2 linked regions of the Elephas maximus indicus genome follow. The protein of the gene in region 2 interacts with the protein of the main gene of each other region in a pairwise test. Links are inferred from orthologs where the notes say so. Each region holds a gene or a part of one and is shown on either strand. Other genes may lie near its edges. The genes, in order: LIMS1 and RBBP8.

Region 1 (9,369 bases), on a different chromosome or scaffold from region 2:
CCCCAATTAGTCTTAAACAGAGCTAGTCAATGAGCTGTGAAGATAAACGACATCTGCTGTAACATGACAGGATGGACTGATGGAAACAGAGTCGGGTCAGTCACCTTTTCCTGACCTCTTCTTTGACAAATTTGGGATCTGTAATAACTGTAGCTTACAACTTTCAGTCAGGTCAACAATCTTCCCTGAGTTGGTCTAAAGGCTACTCCGCACTATATTTTAAAAAAAATATTTTTTTTTTTGCGCTAAAATTCGTTTAACAAAAACATTCAGACTAACCATTTAGAGTTGTTTAACAGCATTATCTTTACACACACACACACACACGTTACACGTCATCCTTATATATTCATTCAATCTTTTGGAAACAGTACTTTGAAATCCAATTAGCCTAACTTACAAAATTGTATTTCTTTATAAACCATCTTTAATTCAATTCTTAACCGATTTCCCCATTACTGTGACATTTTAGAGTATATATTTTTTCCAGTATAAATCTTCTCAATGAAAACTCTAAACCTCCCTTCCTTGGACTACCTAATGAAAATATCCGTACTATTATTGGGGACCTACTGAAGACAAAGACTTTATTACTCTTACTTTAAAGGTGGCATTTTCTGTCACATCCGCATTTCATCTAGTGGAAGTTTTTTTACATGACAAGGCAATCTAGCTGCCTCGCAGAAAGAAAAACTATCACTGAAAGTAAAGTAAATAAAACAGTATCAGCCATGTCAAAATGGCTAGTGAACTGAGAACCTGGAAGAGCAGTTCTCCCCGAGAGGAGACACTTACAATTTCGCATAAAAGTCACAAAACTCCTTGTAGACTTTTACGTCACTGTGCCTGCGCTGCAGTTTGGACACAGCCCTCTCGTCTTCGTTCCCATTAGCCTCGTGGGCGTTGTTAAGCACAGTCTGGGGGATTTCTTCATTCTCTGGGATAGCACAGGGACGTACTCTGCCCGGGAGCGCCATCCTGGAGGGCTTGAGAGCACTGAGCCCAGGGAAAAGAGCGGCAGGGCACAGAAGCAGGAGAAACAATATCTAGGACTCCCCCACTTCCCAGCCAGGGGTCACTCCCACTATTCCCACGTACGTCAGCCCGCCAGGCTTGCCAGGGTCTCTACTAGAGCTTCAAGTTAAGAGCTCCGGCAGCAAGGCCGTCAGCCAGCATGAAGGTCCTGATTTACTGAGACTTTCTGGAAGCTCAGGAAAACATTCCACAAAGCAGTAACACAGCCTCCGCGGCGGACTGTGCCCGTAAACACTACAGCACAGCAATAGAGGCCTGTTCCATAGGACTTCAAGAGAAAGAAATGTCCACATGTCCTGGGTATTTGTTATCAGGCTTAAACAAGACTAACACTGTGCTTCTCAACTTTGGTGGGCATAAGAATCTGCTGGAGAGCTTGTAAACATTCCCCAGAAATCCTGCATTTCTAATAAGCCCCCCGGTGATGCTCATGGCGCTGGTACACTCTGAAGGGCAGGGGAAACCGAGCTTCTCTGACCATAATTTCAGGGCATACTTGCCACAGGTGCCTTTTTATCGGCTTCCCCCCAACTAGGCAGTGAGTCCCTGAAATTAAGGGCTGTTTTCACTTCTATTTATCCCAGTACTCCTGGTGCACAGTGAGAGCTCAGTAATGTGGCGGAATGAATGGACTCAAGTGGAAACAGAAAAGAGGTGGAATTCAGTTATAACATTTTTTTCTACTGATTTCCAGCTAATACTGTAACTCAGGTGAGCCAAAGTTCTGGGTCTTTATCATAACTAAGGATGTCATTAAGTGTACTATTCATTAAAGAATGTTATGGTGTTTTTGCTATAGTCATTCCACACCACAGGGTTGCTGTGAGTCAGAACCGACTGGACAGCAGTGGTTTGGTTTGGGACATCTTACAGAATTATTAGGATTAGCAGTGATGATGATGATGTGTGTCACGGGCAACAAGTGGGTTCAGAATCTTTCTAAAGCCCTAGTCCCCTCAGCACCAAGGCGCCAACCCAGCAAAATCAAGGTACCAAGGGGAGTCTGTAAAAGAAAATCTAGAGCAACAGGCAACAGGAACAACGATCAGCAGAGCAGGTCACTATAGACACAGGAAAGCCATGAAACCAGCAGCAAACGGGAAAATGCAGCTGAGACTCTCTAGAAATAATTATAAATACTTGGGAGTTAATAAGTGCTCACTGTTCAATAAGCACTCATCATTTAATCTTTACCACACATTCCTTTGAAGGAAGTTTTATTTGCAGATGAGGAAACTGAGGCACCAAAACCCAAAACCAAACCCACTGCTTTCGAATCAATTCTGACTCACAGCAACCCTACAGGACAGAGCAAGACTCCCCCATAAGGTTTCCAAAGCTGGAATCTTTCTCTGGTGGAGTGGCTGGTGGGTTTGAGCGGACCACCAGTCGGTTAGCAGCTGAGCACTTTAACCAGTGTGCCACCAGGGCTCATATCTGAGGCCCGAGGTGTTAAACAACCCCCAGAAAGCCAAGATTAAAGCCAAGGTAGTCTGATTCTGAGTCTATGTTTTTAATCCTCTCGTGGGAAAATCATTAAAAATAATTACTAGGGAGCAAACAGGTTGACTAGAAAAGGTTAGGGAGTGGGACAAAATGTGACTAGAAGCAGAAAATAAGACTAAAGCTACCTACTTTGAACCCTAAAGATCTCAGAGGACTGGTCAGGAACTCAAAGGCTGGGTGCTCAGAGCCTGCCCATGACAAGCCTAAGGATGATGGAGTGAGGGAATCACCATTTTTAAACAGGCTTTTATTTTCTCCTTTCACTTACCTACATTTCCCAATTTTTGTTTTTACAATGACCATGTGGATAAGAGAGAGGAGTCAGGGGAGGAAAGAGAGAGACAGACAGAGACAGATACACAGACAGACACAGATACACACATAAACACCTTGACTCTCAGACCAGAAACATAATGCACAGAACTAGGGGTAACATGGTAGAGGGTGGGGTACTACACGGGTTTTGCCAAGATACTTCCCTTCACAGTTAACCTAATCATCTTCTATTTACATTTCTATTTCACCTAAGATGCTCCTCTCTTCAAAACTCAGAATCAATTTTTATTTCCATTATCTTTGATTATCCATTCTAGCGTGTACTGGGGCCAGTTCCAGGAACATGGGGACTTGTCCTCTCCAGGGAGAAGATTCTAGACAATGATTTAATGGTAAAAAAGGTAAGGCGCCCCACCACCACTGTGCTCTCCACAATAATCTTTCCAACTTTTCAGTTTACAATGAACTTTCATACAGAGTTCATTCATCCTGCATAAAAAATAAGACTCCCATTATCTTCTCAGAGAGGCTAAGTAACGTCCTCAAAGTCACCCAGCTAGTAAGCGGAAGGTTCCAAGTCCGATGTTTTGTTTTGTTTTTTACCTCCTTGTGAAACTCATCCTATGCTGATGCTTCCAGCAACTGATATAGAGGACTACACCTCAGTCCTGAAGCTATTAGGCTGTCTGTTTGTCTTCCTTATAATATTCTACACACTTCCTATTCTATACTAGCTCCAGTGATTCCAAACCCTGTTATCCTACTGTCAGATCCAAAACACTCCATCCACACTGAGCTACTGCTACCTGGAGACATCAGCCTAGAGGTGCAACACTGAAGCAGTCACCGGCTGACTTCTCTTTCCCTGTAGTTCAAACAGAACACCAGGGCAGATGGGGACAAACTCTTTGCCTTCTTTCAGCCTCACTTCACATACCAAAAATGTAAGCTCCATAAGGGCAGGACATTTGTCTTGTTCACGTCTGGATCTATAGCCCCTTGAACAGAGTCTAGCACTTAGCAGGCACTCAGTGGTTGCTGAGTGAGGAAAGTGGGGGTTGCTGCTATTGTGTGCTTGGTGTGGTTTCTGACTCCCAGCAACACTGTATGACAGAGTAGAACTGCCACATAGGGTTTTCCTCGGCTGTAACCTTTACGGGAACAGATCTCCAGGTCTTTCTTGTGCAGAGCCTTTCAGTTAGCAGCTGAGGGCTTAATCACTGCATCACCAGGGCTCCTTAAAGTGGGGGGGTGGGGGGGTGGGGGGGAGTAATAATCCATTTATTTAATCTAGCTAGGGGAAATAATAAAAGAGCAAATTAGCTGTACAAGTCTGCCATGCACTTTGAGTCAGCAGTTCAAAAAAAAAATTATCTTACTTCATAACAAGTAGTCTAATTTTTATGAAACAGAAAGTAAAATTATGAAAAAAGTCAATGGTTCATGAACATATAACTCTTCAATGAAATCCCTCATGTGCCAAGGAACTAAAAATAATGCAAAAGGTCTGCAAATATTTTTAACTTTTTGTTTCAAAATAATTATAGTCATAGGAAGTTGCAAAGATAGCACAGAGAGGTCCCATGTGCTCTTCTCTCAATTTCCCCCAAGGACTACATCTTACGTAATCATGGTACAACATCAAAACCAGGAATCTGACATCAGTACAACGTGTGTGTATAGTTCTAGGTCATTTTATCCCATGTGTACAGTCCTGTAATCACGACCACAACCAAGATACAGAACGATTTATACCTTGATAGTCACATCATGCACACTGCTGTTCCCTCATCCCTAACCTCCGGCAACCACTTATCTGTTTTCCATCTATATGATTTCGTCATTTACAGAATGTTATATAAGTGGAATTACACAACGTGACCTTTTAAGATGGGCTTTTTTTGCTTAGCATGAGCTTCCTTGAGGTGCATCTAAGTTGTGTGTATCAACACTTTGCACCCTTTTTTTTTTTTTTTTTTATTGCTCAGTAGTATTCTACAGTATAGATGTACCATAGTTAGTTAACCATTCACCCATAGAAGGACATTTAGGTACCAGCAGTTTCCAGTTTTGGCTACTGGGCATAAAGCTGCTATGAACATCTTTTGTGTACAAGTTTCTGCATGAATGTGTTTTCATTTTTCTGGGATAAATGCCTGGGAGTGTTTAACTGTTGGGTTGTATGCTAAATTTATATTTAGTTTTTTTAAAAAACTGAACTATCTTCCAGAGTGGCTGTATCATTTTACATTCCCATCAGCAATACTGGAGAGATCTAGTTTCTCCACACAGTCATCAACATTTGGTATTGTCATTATTTTTATTTTAGCTGTTCTAATAGATGTGTGATCCCAATTTTTACTAGGTATGTATGTCTTTTGTGTGCATATACACACACACAAATAAGTACAGATAATCCTTATTGACAGGAAGGGGAAGAAAAGTAACACATGTATTAGGAAGAATTTCAAATATTACAGAGGTGTAAAATGAATGTATGTGTGTGTATTCTACTAATCTTAACTGCCCCTTTGATGAAACTAAAGAGGTTACTAAAATTTTTTTTTCTTTGATTCTTGATCACAAGACATTAAGTTAAAAATAAAGCAAAATTATTTTTAGTTTGTATTTTGTTTTTGTGTTCTGAGTCTGCCAAGCACACGGTTCTTACTAGTTGAAAGCCATCAGAAGAGGACCGTGGCTTGAACAGGAATAAAATCCTAACCCCCATCAGCCACTAAACTGCTCCACATCTTCAACCAAGATAGTTCTATAATGTCCTTCCGCTAAATCACATCAGTGCTGGCAATTTAGTAATAATTCTCTTGCCTCTTCAAGTTATGCTACTTAGAGAACACCATGTGCAAGAGGAAGCAAGCAGGAGACCTCCCTTTTTTTCTGGTTTCCTCTACTTGGAGCTGGGATTATGTTAATGAGAATACATGGCACACAGATACTTTAAATAGAACTCTTCAACAGACGTCACCTTAATATGAATGAGCTTTCTGATCAAAGCTATCATATACTACGAAAACATCTTAAAACTGTTTAATCAGTCAGTTTTATCAACGAGAACAGCATTTATGTGGGTGTAAGACAGATGTGTGGCTCTGTTTCTCAGCTTACAATTTTACCAGATCTTATTCTTTCCTCCTTTCGTTTTCATTTATCATCAAGAGACATGTTAACTGGGAAGCAGGAGTGAGAGGAGAGAATGAGGCTCTGCAGGAAGAAAAGACGGGGCAGAAAAAGCCAGATCTTGTATTATACATCTCCTTCCCATTAACCTCTCCCTAAGAGCAAAGGACCCTAACCCATTTACTGTCAAGGTAGATAAAGCAAGCAGAAAGATTCTCTGTGCCTCACACATACTGCTTACCCTGGAACGACAAAGGAACTAAAATGCGGATCAAGGCAAATCACGAGAGCTCTGTCCGTCCACTGCAGTTGTCTGGCTAAGTAAGCTCTGACATTTTAGCTACCTAATGACAGCACAAATAGGCTGCTGCCCTTTCTTTAGCAGCTCTTCTGGGAACGTCTATAGTTTCTTAAAAAGTCTTTGTTTTTTACATTATCACATTGTTTACTTATTTATATTATGTTACATCATCTCTGAACATATGAAACTCACTATGTGCTTACAACGGACCTAAAGAGGTATACCAGAAGTGTCTAGCCCACCACTGGAGGTATTTGTTAAATGAATAAACGAGTGACTAAAAGTCACAGCCTCTGTGACTGTATATAACCTCTGTGGAAACAGTATACATGGTTTCTTCCAATATGCAAGCATATAATGATACAGATTTTTAATTCCATAACCAGTGCTGAATGAACACGATTCTTTTGTACGCCCCCGGTGTCCTGAGTAAGGATCAGTAACACTGCGGTCACTGAAAGGTTCCAAACCAAAAAAACCAAACCCGTTGCCATTGAGTTGATTCTGACTCACAGCAACACTACAGATGGAGTAGAACTGGCCCACAGGGTTTCCGAGGAGCAGCTGGTGGAATCAAACTGCTGACCTTTTGGTTAGGGGCAGAGCTCTTAACCACTGCGACACCAGGTCTGAAAGGTTAGGGGGCATGTTCTCCCAGAAGCATACTGTAGGCTCAGTCGGCCACGTGTTTTATTTAGCCACCACAGAGCAGAGCTAAGAGAAATGTATGTGTACTCTTTTTCCAAGAGGATAGGCAATAATTTAAGGTCAAAAAAATACCAGTGCTCAGGCTTTAGATTCAGGCGTTTTGTTACTTTTAAACCATTTCTGGCACTTAGTAATGTCACTCTAAGAAATGCAAACAATCCCTCTAGCCTGTAACTGTAACCTTGAGAAAATTATTTATCTGAACTCCCTGGACTGAAACTCCTACTGACACCACAGCGGTGCGTCAGAATAGCAATGGCGGCAGAGTGGGAAGCTCCTGTCAAAAAAGCCAGTTTTGTCTCAACAGTGGGGCCTCTCAGAAGGCTTCTGCAAACACCTAAGTACTTTTCTGGCCTGAAGAACTAGGGTTGCCTTAGGCCCCGGTTTCCCTTCAGGTTCCTCCCACGAGGTTCTATAATCTGATTAGCACTCCTTACCACCATGGCTAATTGGGGGTTTTGGAAGATTTCAGAAGATGGGTCTGAACCTCAAACAGCCCCTCTAACCATTCAAAGCAGACAGATTTATATTTCATAAACTCAACATCTTCTGATCATCTACTGTGTGCCAAGCCCTACCACTTACTGAAGGCTCGATCTACCGGGACAGAGTCTGGCCGTACGCGGTGTATCTGACATTACGTTACTGATCTACCGGGACAGAGTCTGGCCGTACGCGGTGTATCTGACGTTACGTTACTGATCTACTGGGACAGAGTCTGGCCGTACGCGGTGTATCTGACGTTACGTTGGCTCACTCTGATGGTCTGCAAGGAATGCTGCAGTGCTTCAGATTCCATCAGTCTAGCTAACGCCATCATTTCTGCCAAAACAAATTCCATCTTTGATAATAAGTCACAAGTCCAAGATAAGTAACCTACTTAGAGATATCATACCAAAAAAATTGCAGCTATTTCCAGGAGCTCAAATACTTAAAGCCTGGATATAATCATGAGCAGAACTGCCAAAACCAAAAGGCAGCTCTTTAAAAAAAATAGTATTTTTTATTTTTTTAAAAAAAGCAACAATTGAATTATGTGCACCATTGCCAAATATTTCATCTATGGGGTTTTAAAAGAGAAGCTGAACATTTTGACCAACTGCCTCTAAACCACGGGACTCTTATAAATCAAAAGGGCCATGCTACTCATGTTTTACCCCATTCCACAAACAGATTTGCATTAACAGATCACTAAACCAGGTACTTGGCAATAACAACTACTAGAATGACTTCAGTCAAAGCCTTCTGTGTCATACTGGGATATTCAAAGTGTTGAGAGACAGTCTGGTTAAATTACCAAATGAAACATGAATTATTTTCATTGTGATTCTCTAACCCACTCAAATGGAAAATTTAATCTCAATTTCCCCAGACTACCAAAAACAAAACAAGCATGACATGCAAGTAAAGATAATGGAGTTGGAAAGTTCCTTCCCATTTTCCAGGTTCCAGGACAAATGCACTGTGTTTTCCTTCAACAGACAGTGGGGAAACGGACAAAGGTGGCCAGCAAAGGATGTGAGGTTGCAGTTAATATGCCATTTTGTCTTGTCTGTTAAAACTGTATCCTACTTCGATTGCACAAGCAAAAAGAAAACACTCATTAACAAGGGGTAAGAGAGTGAGAGAGAGGAGGCACAGATTTTCTCAAACTAGTTTAAAAGGAAGAAAAGCGCACATTTTTTACATGCCTGTGCTGGTATTGCTCATTGGCACTCTCAGCTAAGTAGGGCAGAGGCATTTTGGCTTTTGCTACTGTATGTTAAAAATAAATGAATAGACCAAGTGAAAAAATTCCTCACTTAACAGGTATTTAAAAAGCAAATTAAATTATTCCTCTATACACTGTGGAGCCCCCAGTCCAGGCCCTCCAAACCATCCCAAATACCCTTACCAATGCCCAGCAATTCCAATGAAGCTGTGAGCAGGAGGCTATTTGCATCTGGTTGTTACATTAAGGGGTTTGTGATGTTCTTGAGGAGATAAGGAACATCTTTACAACACAAAACACATTAAATTTTATTAAAATCTTACCCACTCACCAAGTTGGTGAGTGGGTAAGATTTTAGTAAAATTTAATATTAATTTTTGGTGATGGAGAGAGATTCAAAGCACCCTAAACCTTGTGACATTTTATCAAGTGTATTCACTTCCCTCCTCAGGAAAATGAGTGACGCACAACTCATCAGGTTTAAAATTTTCAGGAAAAAAATGAGCAGGCACTCTTGTATTCCTGAAATCAAGAATGAAAATATAGCGCTTCTAATAAAAGACGGCGAGGCAAAAATTCTTCCTCTTGTATCTGAAGAAAAAATGTCCTACTTTTACTGCATAAGCCCACAGGCAGAAAAGAACGCCCTTTTCAAAAAGCCATCGGGCAGAGGTGCACCGAGGGACAGCGTCAC
Region 2 (9,077 bases):
CTATGTGCTGTAGTAATTGCCAACAGCTGAAAAATAACAACTCAACCGTAAAAATGAAACACAAAAAAATTACAGTAATCAAGGTCACACAATGATCAGCTCTTTGAACTTAGTCATTTCTCACTTCTATAAAGACATAAAACTACTGCACAAAGTTAGTTATTACTATAGTTATTACTACAAGTCTCAAAAAAATATAGTATGAATACTTCTCAAATCAGTATTTGAGAAAAGTTTTTACCTTGAACCTCTTTATCATGGTACTCCTTTAGTTTTGCCCAAAGTTCCTTAAAGTCATTAGATATATCTGCAGAATTAGGGCTTCCACAACTGCTTCCAGAGATGTTCATCTTGCTGAATATGCTTCACGCTTCTCTTTGCCTAATGATTTATGACTCTTTCTGTTACATTATGTAAGCATGAAGTTGTCTTTGGAGACAGCTGAAATGCCTGAAACAACAGATCACAACACAAATAAATTTTGCATTTATTTTTATGTGATTTACAGTCATAGAAGAAACACACGTCCACTTGAAACTGAAAATGTGTGGGGGGGGTGAGGAAAGAAGATGATTAAGATGAGAAAAGCCCTGATTTCAGTAATTTGGCCTTTGTTGTTGCTAGGTGCCATCAACTCATAGCTACCCCATGTGACAGACGAGACAGAACAGCCCTGTGGGGTGGGTTCAAACCGCCAACCTTTTGGTTATCAGCCTAGGGCTTAACCGTTGAGCCACCAGGGCTCCTTATTTGGTCTTTAGTTAAACTAAATTTTCGGGTAAATTTTATCTTATTCCTTCTAGAAAGAAGCCATTACCTAAAATGATGCTAAATCGAAAAACCTTTGCCATGGGGTCGATTTAACTTACAGTGACCCTATAGGACAGAGTAGAGCTGCCCCATAGGGATTCCAAGGCTGTAAATCATTATGGAAGCAGACTGCTACATCTTTCTCCCACGAAGCACTTGGTGGGTTCGAACCACCAACCTTTTGGTTACCAGCCGAGGGATTACCCATTGAGCCATCAGGGTTCTTGTTAAATTGAAGGATTCTATTAATGAATGGTTCTTAATCATCCATGGTCAGTATTCATTTCACATTATAAAAAATGTATTGTTTTATTTTTGGATTGATGTAGGGTGCAACAACATATCAAACCCCAAACCAGAAAAACACCCTGAAATATTCCTGACTTAAAAAGTACTCAGGAGCCCTGGTGGCACAGTGGCTAAAGAATCCACTTCTAACTGAAAGGTCAGCAATTCGAAACCACCAGCTGCTCCTCAGGTGAAGGATGTGGCAGTCTGCTTTTTGTTGAGATTTACAGCCTTGGAAATTGTGTTAGTTATGTAGGGCTGCTATAACAGAAACACCACAAGTGGATGGCTTTAGCAAAGATAAGTTTAGTTTCTCCCAGTAAAGCAGACTAAAAGTTCAAATGGAGGGTGTCAGTTCCAGGGGAAGGCCTTCTCTGTCTGCCTTCTCATCAATCTTCCCCCAGACTTGGAGCTTCTGTGTGCAGGGACCCCAGGTCCAAAGGATGCACTCTGCTCCTGGCACTGCTTTCTTGGTGGTATGAGGTCCCCTGTCTCTCTGCTTACTTCTCTCTTTTCTATCTGAAGAGACTGCATCAAGACACAATCCAATCCTGTAGGTTCAGTCCTGCCTCACTAACACAACTGCCTCCCATCCTCCCTCATTAACGTCACAGACGCAGGATTTACAACGTATAGGAAAATAATACAATACCAGGAATCATGGCCCAGCCCAACTGATACACACATTTTTGGGGGGTCATAATTCAATCCATGACAGAAATCTTCTGGGGTCGCTATGGGTCAAAATCGACTCAACAGCAGTGGGTTTGGTTTTCTGTTTTTTTTTTTTAAACAAGTACTCACAAACATAAAGACACATAAATTATAAGAGAGTAAGGCAGATCATTTAAGTATCAGCACACGTGAGAAGCTGTATAGCTTTCTCATAAGAAGGGAAGTTGGTGAGCAAGATACAGATACAGGTAAGATTTATGAATATAAAACATTTAATATTTACAGGAATAAGGCCATTAGGGTAAAGCTACTTTGTCTCAGAGTAAAGGTAAATGATTAAGTTATTATTACTCCTGCAGCCACTGAAGGTAGCAACAGGCTATTAAGTGCAAATGGAGTAGTAAATATTTAAATGTGTTCTTGAACTGAAGCCATTAACTACAGGCCATGCTACCACTAAAAAAGTAAAATGATTAACAAGTCTACTTAAACTTCGCACCTGGTTTATTAGTCAATGCCTTACCACTACTAACAAGTGCCCAAACTGACTTGTTTCTCGATATCGATTTCTTGAGGTCCCTGAGGAAGACTAAAATAAGCAATGACATTTCTAAAGACAGCACGATTATGTGTGAAAACCTACCATCCAGTCAATTTTGACTCATGGAGACCCTACAGGACAGAGTAAGATTGCCCCATAGCTGCTAGTGGATTCGAACTGCTGACCTTTTGGTGAAGCTACCTGGTAAACTGCAAAGCATTACAGAAATATTAAAAATACATTCTTATTAAGCTTTTCAAATATTTAGATCAGGTACTTCTCCAGGCAATGAAAACGGAACATGCACTGAATTTTAGATAATATCAGGGAACAGCCGTTAATTTTCTTGGTTATGATAATGGTATGGTTAAGTTAAAATTTTAAAAAAGTCCTATCTATAAAAGAGCTATAATGCTGAGGTGTTTACAAGTAAACTGACACGAAAGGTACTTCAGTGAAAACAAATGAAAGATCTGTTGCCAGTCACAGCACAAGTCGAGGTCACACAAGGGTCCAAGACAAACTGCTGGGGGAGTGAATGTGGAAGCCCTGGTCGCAGGACCCTCATCCATCACCTCTCACCAGCGCCGGCAGGTTTCGCGGCTGAACCTCACGAAAACGCTCGGCAGGGAAAAGCGTGACTGACGCGGGCGGGGTCGGCGCATGCGCGAGGCAGGCTCGGCGCTGGGAGGCTCTTCAAGCCGCGCGGGAGACGAAGGGAGCAGAATGGAAAGCGAGCTCGTCCTCCCTCTGGCCCATTGTATTAGTACAGCCTGGCCCCAGCCTACTTCCTCAGACGCAGCCCGGGAACCCTGCGGCCACCGCCACCCCGGGAGCGAAACCTGGTCGCTTAGCGCGCGCTCTTCAGTCCCAACCGGAAGCAGCGCCACGATCTAGCGCTTCGGGCTGGGGGAAGGAGGTTCTCCTACTCACAGCTTCCAAGATTGCCTGGAGATTCCCAAAAGCCCCGACGAGGAAGCGGACACCCTCCAGACTGTGAACTCACAGCTGCTCGCTTCTCTTTCACCCCTTTCCTCCACCACACAGCCAATCGCCGGGCGGGAAACCGGCCCCTCAGGGCAGCCCGCGCTTTTCCGGGGGAGGGGGAAGGTCAGGCGGCCTGGCCCGCCCCGCCGGGAGCCCGCGTGACGTCACGCGGGAGTTCCCGCCACGTCACGCCCCTTCCTCCTGCAGCCTAGCGAGGCAGCGCCCCTCAAGACCCCCGCGCTGTGGAGAGGGCGAAGACTGGGAGTGGTGGGACGCCCCGGCCATCGCCAGAGCGTGTTTGAGATGCCCTGGGGAAAACTCAAAGCCGTTGTGTCCGGAGATCTTCAAGTCCTCCGTGTGTGCGAAAGTTAGCCGAACAGGCAGAGCGTGTATGCGTGACATCTTCCACATGGAAAGTTAAAATTAACTGATGTGAGATTGTACACGGATCGTCTGAAGTAGTGTTCTGCCTTGTAGTTATTACCTACAGTTCAGTGATGTGACCTGACAAGACCGGGTGGTATAGCAAAAGGATGCATATCTTTGCTGACGTTAAATTGACTGTTTCTCGTGAACCTGAAAGGAGAAGGAATCAGAAGTGACCAGCATTGTTTATCGGACAGCATGCTATTAGGTCATTTTTTTTTTTTTAAACCGGCGTTTCCTGTAGCTGTTCATGATTTTCAAACTGATAGTATGTTTTCCTATTTATCTTAATTTCTAAAGGAAGCATTTTTGGATCATGGGAATTTTACCAATGAAGTTGAAGAAAATAAAGTAGACTAGTATCGCAATATCTTTTAAACAAGTCCAGAATTTTTGTATAATACTTCAAAATCTTGGGAAGAGAACAGGAAATACTATAAACTTTTAGAAATTAGGTAGTATTTAGCAAATAATAAATACGAAGCGTAAAGGTAGTTTTTCCATTCGTTGCATACGTTGGTGGATGAGTATTGTATTTACTCCTTGATCTTGGACTTAACAGGACCTTAGTTGGTATCTTTATAGAGGAGTTTTGAACCTTCATTATCCTGTTAGAGTAACTATCATTCACATCTAAATTTGATAAGACTTCATAAAACTTTTTAAAGAAAATGGATGAAAAGCCGTCTTTGCCATTTTTAATACAACATAGGAGTTATAATTGGCAGAATGAAACTTTTTGTAAGTTTTTTAATGGAAGAGGAGAGCTTTCTTATAAATGGAAAGAACCCAGACATAACCAGTTGCCATGTAACAGCACATTGACAGAACAGTGTGTTTGTGGTGTAAAGAAAAACTGTTGTAGCCCAATGACCTAACCTGTTCCTCTGGCTTCTGCCAGCAGCTCCACTGTCCAATCCCTTTTTGCAAGTCAGATCAAAAGAATTATCCTTGACGCCTTGTCTCTTAACCTCCATATTCCAATCCATCAAACCAAACCAAACCTGTAGCTGTTGAGTCGATTCCGACTCATAGTGACCTTATAGGACAGAGTAGAACTGCCCCGTAGGGTTTCCAAGGCTGTAAATCTTCACGGAAGCAGACTGCCACATCTTTTGCTGGTGGATTCAAACCACTGACCTTTAGGTTAGCCACTGAGTGCTTTAACACTGTGCTACAAGGGCTTCTTCAGTTCATCAGAAGTCATGTCAATTTTAATTACCAAATATCTCCCAGATCCATCCCTTTCTCTCCATCACCACCATAATCCAAGATACCATTATCTCTTACCTAGTTTAAAAACCAAGCCAAACCCATTGCCATCAAGTCAGTTCTGACTGTACTGCTAGTTTATTTTTCATATTCACCCAACCAACCGTGCCACCTAAGCCTTTCTTTTCACTATGTTCAGAAAAAAAATTCTAATTCATGTATATATTTAAGTTGTATGCATATATTGCTGAAAGATGGTATATAATCTAATGAGTAAGTTATAGGCTTTTGAGCCAGACTCTAGTATTTCCCAATTAAGAGACCTGGGCTAGTTACTCATTTTCCTACCTGTAAAATAAGGATAATAATAGTATAAATCTCACACGGTTATGAAGATCAAATGAGTTAATACATGTTAACTGCTCAGCATAGTGGTCAGATGCATGGTACGTGTTCAATAAATGCCATTTGTTATTACTACTGAACTAGTAGACTATGAACATTGTAACACATTTTTAAAGGATGAGAAAAAAGAATAGAAATCTAATATCTTCTCCTCCCACATTAAATTGTGCCCACTTTGAGAAAATTTCTCTACACGGTAGCTTCTGTAATCTTGAAAGTAAGTCTGATAAGGTCACTCTGCTGCGTAAAACCTTTCAGTGGCTTTAAAGAAAGCCTCTTTGAACTCCTCTACTACCTCTCCAGCTTCATTTTCAACCATACTCTACCCTCTGGCCTTTCTGGCTTTTTTTTTTTTTTAGTGTCTTGAGAGTTACAATCTCCCAGCCGAAAGGGCCTTTATATGCTGTTTCCTCTTCCTGGAATTCTTGACCAAACCCATTGCCACTCTTTGCCTAACCCACTGCTGTCAAACCCACTGGCGTCCAGTCGATTCCTATTTATAGTGACCTCGTGGTGTTTCCGAGGTCGTCAGTTTCTGCAGAAGCAGAGTTCCACATCTTTCTCCTTCAAAGCTGCTGGTGGTTTCAAACTGCTGACCTTTTGGTTCACAGTTGAGCGCTTTAACCACTGCACCACCAGGGCTTCTTGCCCTTTGCCTAGCTAATTATTAATCATCCTTTTATCTTGCTTTTATGATCTCTTTTGTTAGATGATCTTATAGTACCGTATACCTCCCCATCTTATACTGATCACAGTTTTAATTCTTGATTTGTCTCCCCATTAGTTTCTTGAAGTAAAAAGCCATGTCTTCTTCATCATTTTATCTCCAGAAACTTAACTTAGTGCCTGCCACAGAGTCAGTAGTCTGGATAAATGACTGAATGAAGCATCTCTCACTGGATTCCTGTATTTTATGTTAGTGGAAGCCTTTGGGTATATTAAAAATTCTTAGATCATCTTTATGAGGTTTTATAATGGTCACCTTAACAGTAGAAATGGTAGACATACTAATAGATATTTGCCCCCAAATGTAGCTTTGAGACCCAGTCTCCAAGGATCTGCTGAGGAAACTTCTTTTCACAGAGAAGCATCACTCTTTGTGATACTTGTATTCCCATATTTTATAACTTAAAATAATGCTTCCCAAACTTTTTCAATCATGGCATACTTAGAACATGAATATCATGGCTTGTGATAAAAGGACAGGCCGCTTCCAGCTCCAACCACCTCACGCCCAGTGCTTGGGATTTTAAGTCTTAGCACATGGGTAACCCATTTGAAATCCTGGTTAGAATGTTGGATTTAAAAATTATCTGGTAGCAGTAAAACTGTAAGATTCTTAAAACTGTAGAGTTTTGGAATTCATGTAGATTTTAAAATCATCTAACTCAAGCTGTTTTAAAAATGAAATTGTTGATTCTACAACCTATGCTTAATTCCTACAACTGAGCAGCTTAGTGTTGTGAGGGGAAAAATCACATAGCAGGTTAGACTGATATGACTAAAATTACATGGTGTCAGACCTAATGTAAGGCATCCGTTAATCCTTAAAATTGTCTTTGTTCAGCTCCTTCTCCTATTTCCTTTCGCCTCTTCCAAAACTTCATTATTGTCTTCAAGCCTCTATAGCTTTCTCTGCAGACCACCTAGCCTCCTCATTAAAAAAGACAATTGGGCTCAACAGGTGTTATTCTCCTAAGCTTCCCTTTCCCTTTCTCAACTTGGAAACCCTGGTGGCATAGTGATTAAGAGCTACAGCTGCTAACCAAAAGGTCAGCAGTTTGAATCCACCAGGCACTCCTTGGCTACTCTATGGGGCAGTTCTACTCTGTCCTGTAGGGTCGCTATGAGTCAGGATTGACTTGATGGCAGCAGGTTATCTTGTTCCTGTCCTCAAGGAGAATGCTTTCAATCTCTGTCCATTGAGAATACTGTTGGCTGTTGGTCTTGCATGTATGCCTTTATGCCCAATTATGTTGAGGAATTTATCCTTCTACTCCTATTCTGGAAACCCTGGTGGCGTAGTGGTTAAGTGCTATGGCTGCTAACCAAGAGATCAGCAGTTCGAATCCACCAGGTGCTCCTTGGAAGCTCTAAGGGGCAGTTCTACTCTGTTCTGTGGGTCGCTATGAGTCGGATTTCGACTCAACGGCAGTGGGTTTTATTCCTATTCTACTGAGAGTCCTTTTTTTTTTTTTTTTTCAGGAAGAGGTGTTGGACTTTACCAAGTGCCTTTTCTATGTCAATTGATATAAACGTGTGATTCTTTTCCTTTGTTTTATTTATGTGGCGAATTATGTTGATTGATTTTCTAATGTTGAACCCTTGCATCCATGATATGAATCCCACCTGATCATGATGTATTATTTTTTGATATGCTATTGTATTCTTTTGGCTAGATTTTTGTTGAGAATTTTTGTGTCTGTATTCGTGAGGGATATTGGTCTGTAATTTTCTTTCTTTTTTGCTTTTGTGGTATCTTTGGCAGGCTTTGGTATCAGGGTTATGCTGGCTTTGTACAATGAGTTAGGGAGTATTCTTTCCTTTTCTATGTACTGGAATAGTCTGAGTGGGATTGTTGACAACTCTTCTCTGAATGTTTGGTAGAATTTCTCCAGTGAAGCCATCTAGGCTGGGGCTTTTTTTGTTGGGAAAGGCATTTGGTAAAGTCCAACACCTCTTCCTGAAAAAAAAAGAAGCTGCCAAAATTCTAAACAAATATTTCTGCTAACCAGAAGTTGCTAGTTCAAATCCACCAGCCACTCCTTGGAAACTCTATTGGGCAATTCAGCCCTGGTGGTACAATGGTTAAGTGCTCGGCTGTTAATCAAAAGGTTGGTGGTTTGAACCCACCCAACAACTCTGCCAGAGAAAGACCTGGCATTCTGCTTCCATAAAAAATCCTGAAAAAATCCCATGGGCAGTTGTACTGTGTCACATGGGTTCACTATGAGTCAAAACTGATTCAAGGTCATCTAACAACAACGAGAACTTAACTGCGGTAGAGGTGATAAAAAGAACTTAAGTGTGATCACTAAGACCGTAGAGTAGAAAAGTTGATTTTGTTTTGGAAAGCTTGAAAAACTAAACTTTACCTTACCTTTCACCCAATAAATAAATATATAGTATTATACTGCATTGTCCTGCGACCATACATATAATACTATCATGATGGAAGCTGTGGGAACAATATTTACAGTAATGTAAATGGAAAAAATTATGAAGGGTTAACTGTAGGAACAAGTCATGGACACTTGGAGCCTTGTAATTAAAGCATTCCTTGATAGATTCACAAGAGCATACATGTTTAATATTCATTACTTTGTCCACTTAAAATATAATGATTCACGTCTTAAATAGTAATGTTTCCATCTCTGAATTGATAAATTTATTCAATGCTGGCAAATAGGTATGATCTTTAATGTACTCATGCCTCACAAGTCTACAGATATATCTTTAAATACACTGGCTGACTTATTCAGTTTATTCTAACTATGCTTGAGAAAAAATAGACTGTTTAAAATATTGACTTTTTTGTTTTTCTTAATCCATATATAAAGAGAAAGTACTAGAAATTTATACTGAAAGTAAATTATGGTTCAATTCACTTCACACTCTTAGTAACAATTTTTTTTTTAACTACTTAGGATTAAAAAAAAATAAAACCCCATTGATGTTGAGTTGATCCCAACTCATAGTGACTTTATAGGACAGAGTAGAACTGCCCCATAGG

What was found.
Region 1: the proteins of RBBP8 (region 2) and LIMS1 interact in a two-hybrid assay, tested with the Homo sapiens proteins (2 studies listed by BioGRID and IntAct). The two-hybrid records come from large-scale screens. The link is inferred for Elephas maximus indicus from reciprocal best matches to the Homo sapiens genes RBBP8 and LIMS1.

The regions. Positions count from the first base shown.
Region 1 is NC_064835.1:77,143,924-77,153,292, forward strand, and holds the start of LIMS1 (LIM and senescent cell antigen-like-containing domain protein 1), read right to left. Parts: upstream 4,004-9,369; 5' UTR 978-4,003; coding exon 796-977; intron 1-795. UniProt on the Homo sapiens protein: Within the IPP (ILK-PINCH-PARVIN) complex, binds to F-actin, promoting F-actin bundling, a process required to generate force for actin cytoskeleton reorganization and subsequent dynamic cell adhesion events such as cell spreading and migration.
Region 2 is NC_064829.1:28,949,791-28,958,867, reverse strand, and holds the start of RBBP8 (DNA endonuclease RBBP8), read right to left. Parts: upstream 3,454-9,077; 5' UTR 3,248-3,453; intron 451-3,247; 5' UTR 351-450; coding exon 242-350; intron 1-241. UniProt on the Homo sapiens protein: Endonuclease that cooperates with the MRE11-RAD50-NBN (MRN) complex in DNA-end resection, the first step of double-strand break (DSB) repair through the homologous recombination (HR) pathway.